2 linked regions of the Oryzias latipes genome follow. The protein of the gene in region 1 purifies or fractionates together with the protein of each later gene. This does not show direct contact. Links are inferred from orthologs where the notes say so. Each region holds a gene or a part of one and is shown on either strand. Other genes may lie near its edges.

The links. Proteins that work in one complex are often made in the same cells at the same time.
Region 2: the proteins of rfc1 (region 1) and rfc3 fractionate together in Homo sapiens (co-fractionation; 4 studies listed by BioGRID and IntAct, with this or other methods). This does not show direct contact. The link is inferred for Oryzias latipes from reciprocal best matches to the Homo sapiens genes RFC1 and RFC3.

Annotation. Positions count from the first base shown.
Region 1 is NC_019859.2:13,023,168-13,028,047, reverse strand, and holds the start of rfc1 (replication factor C subunit 1), read left to right. Parts: upstream 1-1,552; 5' UTR 1,553-1,679; coding exon 1,680-1,682; intron 1,683-2,039; coding exon 2,040-2,156; intron 2,157-2,251; coding exon 2,252-2,327; intron 2,328-3,089; coding exon 3,090-3,203; intron 3,204-3,285; coding exon 3,286-3,560; intron 3,561-3,658; coding exon 3,659-3,733; intron 3,734-4,605; coding exon 4,606-4,683; intron 4,684-4,762; coding exon 4,763-4,880. UniProt on the Homo sapiens protein: Subunit of the replication factor C (RFC) complex which acts during elongation of primed DNA templates by DNA polymerases delta and epsilon, and is necessary for ATP-dependent loading of proliferating cell nuclear antigen (PCNA) onto primed DNA.
Region 2 is NC_019872.2:9,960,257-9,965,282, reverse strand, and holds rfc3 (replication factor C subunit 3), read left to right. Parts: upstream 1-1,965; 5' UTR 1,966-2,078; coding exon 2,079-2,165; intron 2,166-2,690; coding exon 2,691-2,828; intron 2,829-2,941; coding exon 2,942-3,009; intron 3,010-3,121; coding exon 3,122-3,219; intron 3,220-3,695; coding exon 3,696-3,877; intron 3,878-3,958; coding exon 3,959-4,095; intron 4,096-4,173; coding exon 4,174-4,272; intron 4,273-4,351; coding exon 4,352-4,421; intron 4,422-4,510; coding exon 4,511-4,702; 3' UTR 4,703-4,972; downstream 4,973-5,026. UniProt on the Homo sapiens protein: Subunit of the replication factor C (RFC) complex which acts during elongation of primed DNA templates by DNA polymerases delta and epsilon, and is necessary for ATP-dependent loading of proliferating cell nuclear antigen (PCNA) onto primed DNA.

The sequences.
Region 1 (4,880 bases):
TCCTGCTTTTTTATTTATTTCTTTAATTATTCTTGCTTTTTACTTTTATTTCTGTCTTTTTTTTCCCTGTGACTAACCAACCACTTTACTGATAATTGTCTAACACACCAGGGTACTGGAAGTTACTCCCACACAGACACGGCCTGCATGCCGCTCACAGCTCCCGTTCTCACGCTCTGCTCTCCGCTTGTTGTTTCTCTCTTTGCAGCGGCTTTGATCCAGCAGGCCACCACAGTGAGGAAGAAGGACATCAGGAAGTTCTTGGACGGCATCTATGTGAGCGAAAGGACCACTGTGGTGGAGTCAGCCAGTGAATAAATGTTCAGATTCTGCTATGACCAATAAAATAACCTTTTTCCAGCTCGATTGATCTCTTGTTGTCTGTGTAATTGTTCTTTGCTTGATTAGAGAAAGCTGTGCATTTAAGGTTTAAGTCATCAAGAAGGTTTTAGCAGAAAACTGGACTCGGCTTTGATCCAAAGTTCCTAAAGACATAAAATGAGAGTATTGAGAAACTCATCAGTGTGACAGTATAAAAGAAGCAGGTGAGGGATTATTTATCAAAATATAAGGACAGCTTTAAATTGAATGATTTTCACAAAAACTTTGGGGGAAAACTGGTTTCCGTCATGCATCATTTACATGGATCAAGTCATTTTAAACATTTTCTGTCTTATTTTACATTAACCTTTGGTTATAAGATGGAGTTGTCTTTGTAAATGTTGGACAGACGGAAATGTGACAAATACATTTTATGGTTAAAATAAATTGTCCAGCTTTCTGTTTTGTGATCTCGACTGTCATCCACTGAAGCAAAGTGGAGCAGTTCCATCATCTGCCCATTTTAGTCCTAATTTAAGGCTGTTTATCTGAAAGTAGCTGAGCTCCGTTTGTTGCCGACATCTAATGAAAGCTTTATTAAAGACAACAGTTGTGATCTGAACTAAAATGTGGTAAAGTTTGGTCAGAGGTATAAAATTAGTCACACATACTGAAGGAATTGTTGAATGTTTTTTGTAAAAGTGTTCAAATTGGCCTTTATCTTTCAAAAAAAAAAAATTATCTGACAATCCTCTGTAAACAGCTAAAAATGTCTTCAATTTAGAGGCCAGCCATGTCAATGAATTGTTTATCTTGCCTCCTAATATTCTGGACATAATTTTTCTATTGTACCGTTTTCAAACTTTATATTTATTCTAGTGTAAAGCTGAATTATAAATACACAATAGAAAGTATACGCAGGCTTATTTGTGAGGAGAGATTTGTATTGACTGGACTGAAAATAAAAGTGAGAAACTGTTTATGAGGCACTTTAAAAGAAAGGGAAAACAAGCTTTACTACACATGAAAATGTCAAAAGCATTTTTACTTTTTTTAAATAAATCTTTAAAGTTAACTTGGTGCAGATCATTTATCAACTAAGATGTAGCTAGAAAACCACTTAAATTATCTTTTTAGCGGCAGAAAGACGTTTATATTCAAATGAGAAGTTTTGTCTAAAATGATTTTAAATGTATGTGTGATGAATTTCTCAAGACGCTGGTTGGATGACGCAGTGACGCAGCCAGCATCCGGTGCGTCATCTCCTAGCGACTGCAGACTTGGCGCCAAGTAGTTGGGAGTTTTTATTATTTTGCTGATAACAAACTGTGAGGTTTCCTTGTGGAATTATCTCCAACATGGTATGTTACACACCGTTATGGTTTCCACCTCACACAGAAAGCGAACGCATGTGAGCAAAGTCTGACATTGAGGAGAAACTGGATGCTAAGCAGATGTTGTCGCGCGCTTCTGCTGTGGGTTAGCTAAAACAGTTTTAAGACAATTGACTTGTTGACCTACATTTTTTATTTTAATATAGGAACAGGTTATTGCACAGCAGCTATAATTTACCGGATGTTTTAATAATTAAATCCGCACATTTGTAGTTTAAATTTAATTAATCCTTGAAGAGATGCAGGGATTTTTTTTTTGCACACTGAAGTACAGATTATTGATTTGTTAAAATAGCCTCAAAGTTCCTTTGCTTCTGCATTCAGGATATAAGGCGGTTCTTTGGACCGACATCAGGGAAACCTGCGGTGCAGAAACCAGCGCCAAACACCAAAGCAGAGGAGAAGAAGAACCTCAACTCCTCTGATGTGAAAAGAACCAAGGTTGATACTCTTGTGTTTTCATTTTTACTTCTACACTAAGTGCTGTTCCTGCACATGTTTGGGATTTTGAGCTTCTCTTGTGTTATCTCATGTAGGTCAAAAGCTCCAAAACAGAGGAGCGACGCAAAGACAGTGAGAAAAAGCGCAAGAAGTATTCTGTCATAGCATCAGGTAGGAAAGACTCTGGATGACCTAATGGGCGTGGCTTAAAGTCACGAGATGACCTCTGTGATTTAACAGCACTGGATGGGGGGCCAACTCCAGGTCTCCCTGTGCTGGTCCCCAGCCCGGATAAAATACAGGGTTGTGTCAGGAAGGGCATCCGGCCTAAAAAAAAGTCTCTGCCAAACCAAATGTGTGACTCAGTGAAAGCTGATTCGCAGCAGCGACCTCTGACAGGATGTGTCAAAAGGTGAACAACGAGTGTAATATGTCTTTGAGTGGTGCAGTGTCTCTCAGCATCACTATATAATAATGTCAAAGAAAAAGTGAGAGGCTGGCTGAGAGGTTCATATGTGATGCAGGAAGCATCAAGCAGAAATAAACATACATAGTTATACCAAACCTACCTACCAAACCACAAGTTCATTAGAAAATAAAAGAAGATTATGCTATTGTCTTGACATTATAATTACTCCTAATCATAAATAAACATAGTTGCACGTATGCATACAGTATGACACACATGACACATTAAATAGGATTATTAAATAATAGTTTAAAATAGCTTTAAAGGCAGAATTTATACAATCACAGCCCTATTATGATTTACTTACCTTTAAAGAAGGTATGAAGTTCCTTCATAAAATCAACATTTTATTTTAGTGTCAAAGGAAATTGTGAATCCTTGACTTAAAACAGCTAAAAGGTAAATATTATTTCAGATCCTATTTTTAAAAAGCTTGAAGGATAAATTCTTGTTGTTTTGTTCAGATTCAGAAGAAGAGGAGAAACCTGCAACAAAGTCTAAGAAATCTTCTAAATCGACGAGCAGCAAAGCAGAGCCTCTTCCTAAAAAAGACCCAGTGCAGTACGTCTCTGAAACAGGTGAGGCCTTTCTTCATCCAACGTCCTCCAGATTCAATAAGCTAAAAAGCCGATTTTCTGACGTCTGTTTTTGTGCTTTTAGACTCGGACAGCGACAACTTTCAGTCGCTGAAGAAAGGAGCCAAACCCAAACAGAACGGTTCTCCTAAAAGCAATAAGGCGGACGCAGAACGTTCTCGCTCAGGATCCAAAGCCTCTCCTGTCACAGGAAAATCTGGGCTAAAGAGTCCCACAACCCCCAAGTCTGTTGCACCACCTCCACCCAAACTAACTCCTACCTCAGTGGCGGATTATTTCGGCGGTGCTGCTATTCATCGCTCAGAAAAGAAGCTGGTAGCCAGCGCCAAGAGAAAAGCTGTGAGTGCTGATGAATCCTCCTCATTCTTCTCCTCCAGCTTTCAGGACTCTCATTTGTTTTACAACAATCCAGCTTCACTATAACTCCTGTCTTCCAGCCAACACAAGACTTTGAGGATCTGATAAGTGATGAGGAAATCGCCCGACAGTTGCAGGTGGAAGAAGAGATGGAGGTGAGCAGATCATCAAACACTCCGGCGTAAAAACAGAAGCAGAAGTTAGTGATTCAGGAATCTGTACACTAAGTTTACTCCTAGAGTTCACTCTAAAGAAAGTGCTCGGATCAAAACACAGACTTCCTCTAGGTTTGAAACTCTATCTTTTCGATTTCCAACACTTCCAATCAAGCTTTATTTATAAAATCCTTTTCATACAAAAGCAGCTGAAAAGGCTCCAAACATCAAATGTGAAACGTCATAGAGCTTCACTCCAAATGATACCACGGGTATAGACTCCAGGCCTCATTAACCAGTGTCCTACTTGTTTTTTCATCCAAGCTGCCGTTGTAGCTTTTAATTGGCAAAACAAACCTGATTCAGGTAACCATGGCAACAGGCATTTCAGGGTTTCTGAACAACAGGTTGCCGGCCCTCGAGGGCTCGAGTCCAACACCTCAGGTGTAGAAGATCCCAATGAGGAAAAGGACTGGAATAAAAAAAAGTGTAAGAAAACAGAACAAATGGAACAGAAAAATGAATAGAAAACATAAATAGCGACTCTGACAAAGACAGAAGACATCTGTCGAAACATGTAAGTTATGTGAAAAAATACAACCGTGTCTGATAGTAGAACATCAACTTTGGTAGAATATAGGGATAGAATTTTAAAAATTGCACAAAAATTGTCAAATTTGAATTGAAAAAAATGTAATTTAAAATAATAGAAGTAAAAAAATAAAAAAAAATTAAAAATTTTAGCTATACGTATGTTTATGTTATTATTAAGATTGTCATTTGTTCTCGGTGTATAAATGCTGAACTGGATCGCTACACTTCTTCTCGACGTAACTTATTCATTTTTTTTTTTCCACTTGTTCTTCATTTAGCTGGAAAAACAAGTCCATGAGGATGAGGAGTTTGCCAGGACGCTCGCCTTGATGGACTCGGAGCCGCAGGCCAAGAAGGTACTGAGAACAATCCCAGAGGAACATCTTCACTTTAGTGGAATCCTTTAATGAGCATTTAAAACTTTTTTTCATTTAGGCTCGTAAAAACGCGGATGAAAAACAAAGCACAACTCCCAAAAAGAGTGTTGGCGATGCTGCTGCAGAGGCGAGCAGCGTGACGAAGGTCAGGCGCAGCACCTCTGAAAACGTGATCA
Region 2 (5,026 bases), on another chromosome or scaffold:
TGGTTTAGAAGTATTCAAGTCAATTCTGCATCTTAAAATATGCTGGGGGGGAAATTCTATATAAGGAATTATACAAGGTTTCATTTTCTAGTTTCTCACAGCCGTCTTTAAATAAGTAATTACCCTCATTGTCTTTAAGTGTTTGAAATTTTGTCAGGTCATCTGTTTTGTCATCCTTTCATTGTTCACTTAAAAATATGGGTCTGTCATGTTCAGATTTAATTAATGAGTTTCCACCACAGATATGATCTCCTATATTTTGGGTCCTTCATCCCCCAGTTTCAGACAAAATGACCTAACTGGCATGCATTTTCAAAAAATAAAAGCATTCAGAACATTAGAAACTTGATCCTAATGTGACTTACAAGGAGACACGGAACATTACAAGAAACAAGAAAACATCACTGAAAATAAGCCAAACTAGAGGCTTGAATCCTCACTTTCCATGAATTACTGGAGTTGGAGTTTGTTGTGAATGGGCCACACACATAATATAGATTTGAATGATTAGAAAGTTAAACAATTAAAGAAAAAATTGGAATCAAGCCTTACATTGATTATGGAAATGTAATGTTCAAAAACCTCATTGGATGTTTTGAGGCTCATTCTACAGTTCTTCGACCTGAATTTATCATTATAATGATTGATCTTTGTTAATAAAACTCAAACATGTAATTTAATGCAAGCTACGCTAACACGTTAAGGCATGCATTGCAAAGTACATTCCTGTTGCTTGGAGCCCTATTTACCTCTATTTTGTTGAAGAAGACCTATATTTTCAAACGTCCAAGCAGAAAGGAGAAAAAAAATACGGATTTATGACCGTATATTCTCCAAGCAATTGCTTGCAGTAAGGACATTATGTAAAAAATATTATGAAGACTCTTAGCAAAAGGAATTTCATACCAAAACATGTGAGCCGAGTTATCTTAAACGTGTTTATGGTAGAAACTGAGAAAATCTCAATTTTCTCAACAAACCTTCATGTGTAGTAAATCCAATAAGCCACAAAGTATGTCCTTTTTGCGTTTTTCCTGCAGGACAAAAACATGGAATTAACATTCTGCAACTCTCTGCAAATTGTGGGAAGAAAAAATAAAAATGCCTTCTTAATTACACAATTTACTTTTTCTAATCTGTGTTTCTTTTATGAATTAATGAGACACAGACAGTAGCGGGGAAATGCTGGTTTACTTGGGTCAATATGACCTGCAACCAGCTCCTACCTTCTAAAACTGAGGGTGCTCAGTAACAAGGTGACATTTTATTTCCTATGGATTAACTGAAACAGAACATCAATGGGGGACCTTTCTGTGTGGAGTTTGCATGTTCTCCCCGTGCATGCGTGGGTTTTCTCCGGGGACTCCGGCTTCCTCCCACTGTCCAAAACATGCTTCATAGGTCAATTGGCAACTCTAAATTGTCCCTAGGTGTGAGTGTGAGAGTGAATGGGTGTGTGATTGTGGCAACCCCGTGACCCCAAAAGGGATAAAACAGTAGAAAATGGATTAACTGCTTCACATTCCTCGTTGGGTTTCATTGAATTGTTGTCATAGACATACTTGATTGTCATTTCAAAACAAGAAGTCTCATCCTTCTGAGGTTGTTGTATGCACACACAACGTGTTTGTGTGGGCATTACAGAGGTCAGGCAAAAGAAATGCATGTCCCAGTCAGCTTTCTGGATGCCATAGAACAAAGTTGAATGAAGACTAATAACACGATTTTGTCGGTCTTTAAACTCCATTCTTTTATTTTTTTACCTTAAATATTATTTCTAATTTAAAAATGAATTGGCACATAGATAAATTAGAGTATTTTGTCCTTGTGTTATTGTTTTGTAGCCTAATTATGAGTTGTCTTGGTGAGTTTTGACATAAGATTTAAATAAAATCATTTTTGGACAGTACTGTAGTTTTCCGAGCTGACTCTATTTAGACCCTCATGGTTTGCCGTATCTCGCGAGAAAACAAAACCTCGCGGTTGGTAACTTCCGAGTGGGAAATAATTCGCGGGAGATTGACCTGCTGACGCCTTATTCGTTGTCAAAGCAACATTTACTAGACTTTATTTACAAAATGAGTTTGTGGGTGGACAAATATCGACCGACCTCTCTGGGGAAGCTCGATTATCATAAAGAACAAGCTACTCAGCTGAAAAACCTGGTAGGAAACTTCAAGAAATCTGTTGTTGATTGATGGTTTGGTTAGCTGCTATTTTCCCTCCTCTCCTCGTTTTGTTTATATCACCGTTTTTTTAAAATATTAATTTAATTCCTTATTTCCGCGTTACTTTGTAAATGCATGTTTGGAAAAGTTACTATTCTTGACAATAACCTTTCAGTTACGTTGCAAAGGGTAAACGCATGAATTAAGTCATTGACTTGAATTGTAATTGAGATCAGAGTAACGACGACTGACACGTTATCAGTTACATTTACCCCATCTTTATCTATGCTTTAAATACAACCGCCTTTTAACATACACTGTACAGTAAAATAAAAAAATATATATATAGGGAAAAAAATTAACCAAATCTTTAACCAGAAAACAAAATGAAACAAATCAAAGAAAAAAGCCCAACAAATGCTGGACATTATATGTCCCAAGGGATCATAACCCAGTGTTGTCTAAGAAAAACTGGTACTAAAAAAACACAATCTCAAACTATTTGGTGTAATTTGGCTGCAGGTTCAATGTGGAGACTTTCCCCACTTGTTGGTGTACGGCCCCTCAGGAGCTGGAAAGAAAACCCGCATCATGTGTCTGCTGAGGGAGCTGTACGGAGCCGGGGTGGAGAAGCTCCGCATAGAGCACCACACCATAGTGGTGAGAGGAGGAACCAAGGAGAACAAAAACCTCCAATTACCAGCAATATAGACATTTATATTTGGATGTATTGACTATTAAATATAGTTGCATCTCCTGATTTTTGACTACAGGCCCCATCAAAGAAGAAAATTGAGATCAACACCATTGCCAGCAACTATCACTTGGAGGTCAACCCAAGGTAACTGTTTTTGACCAAAAAATTTCAAAAGTATCTTGTTTGGATTTTTTAACACTTTTTATTCCAGCCTTGTCTTTGAGTTTCTGCTACTAATCTGTTCTGTGTGGTACAGTGATGCAGGAAATCAGGACCGTGTGGTGATCCAGGAGCTAATTAAAACTGTGGCTCAGTCCCAGCAAATCCAGTCAAGCACGCAGCGAGAGTTCAAAGGTGAATCAGACTAACGTAGCCTTGTCTCAGTGGAACCTGGAGATGGAAGCAGGGGTTTGGACTTGTACACAAACTACAATATTTTGCTGCAAAAAGAATATTATTCCTGATGTTTCTTTCTGTTCTAAACATTGTTTGGGGGTTTACTGGATCCACTTATTTAATTCCTAATTTAGCCAAAGATTTAATTCATATATGTAAATATAGCCCTGCTCAACCTTTTTTTTAACTTGTTTTTATTTTTGTGATTTATCAAAATATGTTCTGTTATCTTGTTTTTCAACTGTTGTTTCTTCTTTTTGCCCCTCTGGTCAACTTTTTCTGTGTTTTGATGCTATATATCAATGCTGAGTTTTGTTAATAAAGTTTTGGGTTAAAAATGGGTTAAAAACTAATGCAATGTCCCAAAATATAGTTTTTGTTGTCTTTTGTAACCTAATTTCTTGTTTTAACTAAAAAAAAATCTTTCTCCTTAGTTGTGATACTAACAGAGGTGGACAGACTCACAAAAGATGCCCAGCATGCTTTGCGTCGAACCATGGAGAAGTACATGTCCACCTGTCGTCTCATCCTCTGCTCCACATCCACCTCCAAAGTCATCGGGCCAATCAGAAGTCGCTGTCTGGCTGTGAGAGTTCCTCTGCCGAGCACAGAGGAGGTGAGGAGGAAGTGGTTCAGATAAAAATAAAAAGTTGCCCCCTGTTTTGTCTGCATCTGCAATATGTCCTCCTTTTTCCAGGTTTGCAGTGTTTTAACTTCAGTTTGTAAAAAAGAGGGTCTGAATTTGCCACCTGAGCTGGCCAAACAAATCAGTGAAAAATCCGGCCGCAACCTGCGCAAAGCGCTTTTGATGTGTGAGGCCTGCAGGGTGCAGCAGTAAGTTGTCACCCCATCTGTCTATATTTGAAACAAAAACTAAACATGTTCGCTAAATGGGACTCTTTTAATCTTCAGGTATCCGTTCTCCGCTGATCAGGAAGTCCCAGAGACAGACTGGGAGGTCTACCTGAGGGAGACGGCGAACGCCATCGTCAGCCAGCAGAATCCTCAGAGGTTTGACGTTTTGTTTTTTTAAGGAGATAATCAGACTGTGAGGTTTCAAGTTCTCAATCACCACCTGTTCCTCTTCTAGGCTGTTGGAAGTCCGCGCCCGGCTGTACGAGCTGCTGACTCACTGCATCCCTCCTGAAATCATCATGAAGGTGAGCGCTCCCTGCGTTTCTGCCATCACAAGTGTTAAAATGACCAAAGGTCTGTTCTTATATCAAGCGTTCCTTTAATAATCTAACAGGGCCTGGTGAAGGAGTTGTTGAGTAACTGTGACGGTCAGCTGAAGGCGGAGGTGGCCCACATGGCAGCTTATTATGAACACAGACTCCAGCTGGGCAGCAAAGCTATCTACCACCTGGAGGCTTTTACCGCCAAGTTCATGGCCATCTACAAGAAGTTTATGGAGGACGGTCTGGATGCTATGATGTTTTAGCTTTAAGTCCACTTAAATCTGTCTGAGTTCAGAAGCCATAGCTGCGAAGCTCAGATGAGACAAGACACGCGTTTCCCTGCAGGATTTACAGACAAACGATCCCAGAGGCGGAAACTTGAGCTTCATGCCACAGATTGTTGACAGCATCAGCAGCAGTTGGCAAACGTTTCATTGTTGCTCTTATTCTGGGAAATGAAAGTTTTGTTGTAAAGTTTGGGAAAATGTAACTTGTACTGTCGAAGGTTGACAATAAATGTATTTTTAAAGGGAGGTTAAAGGGTTTGTGATTAAAAAAAAATGAGCACAAAGAACTGTTTAGGTTTT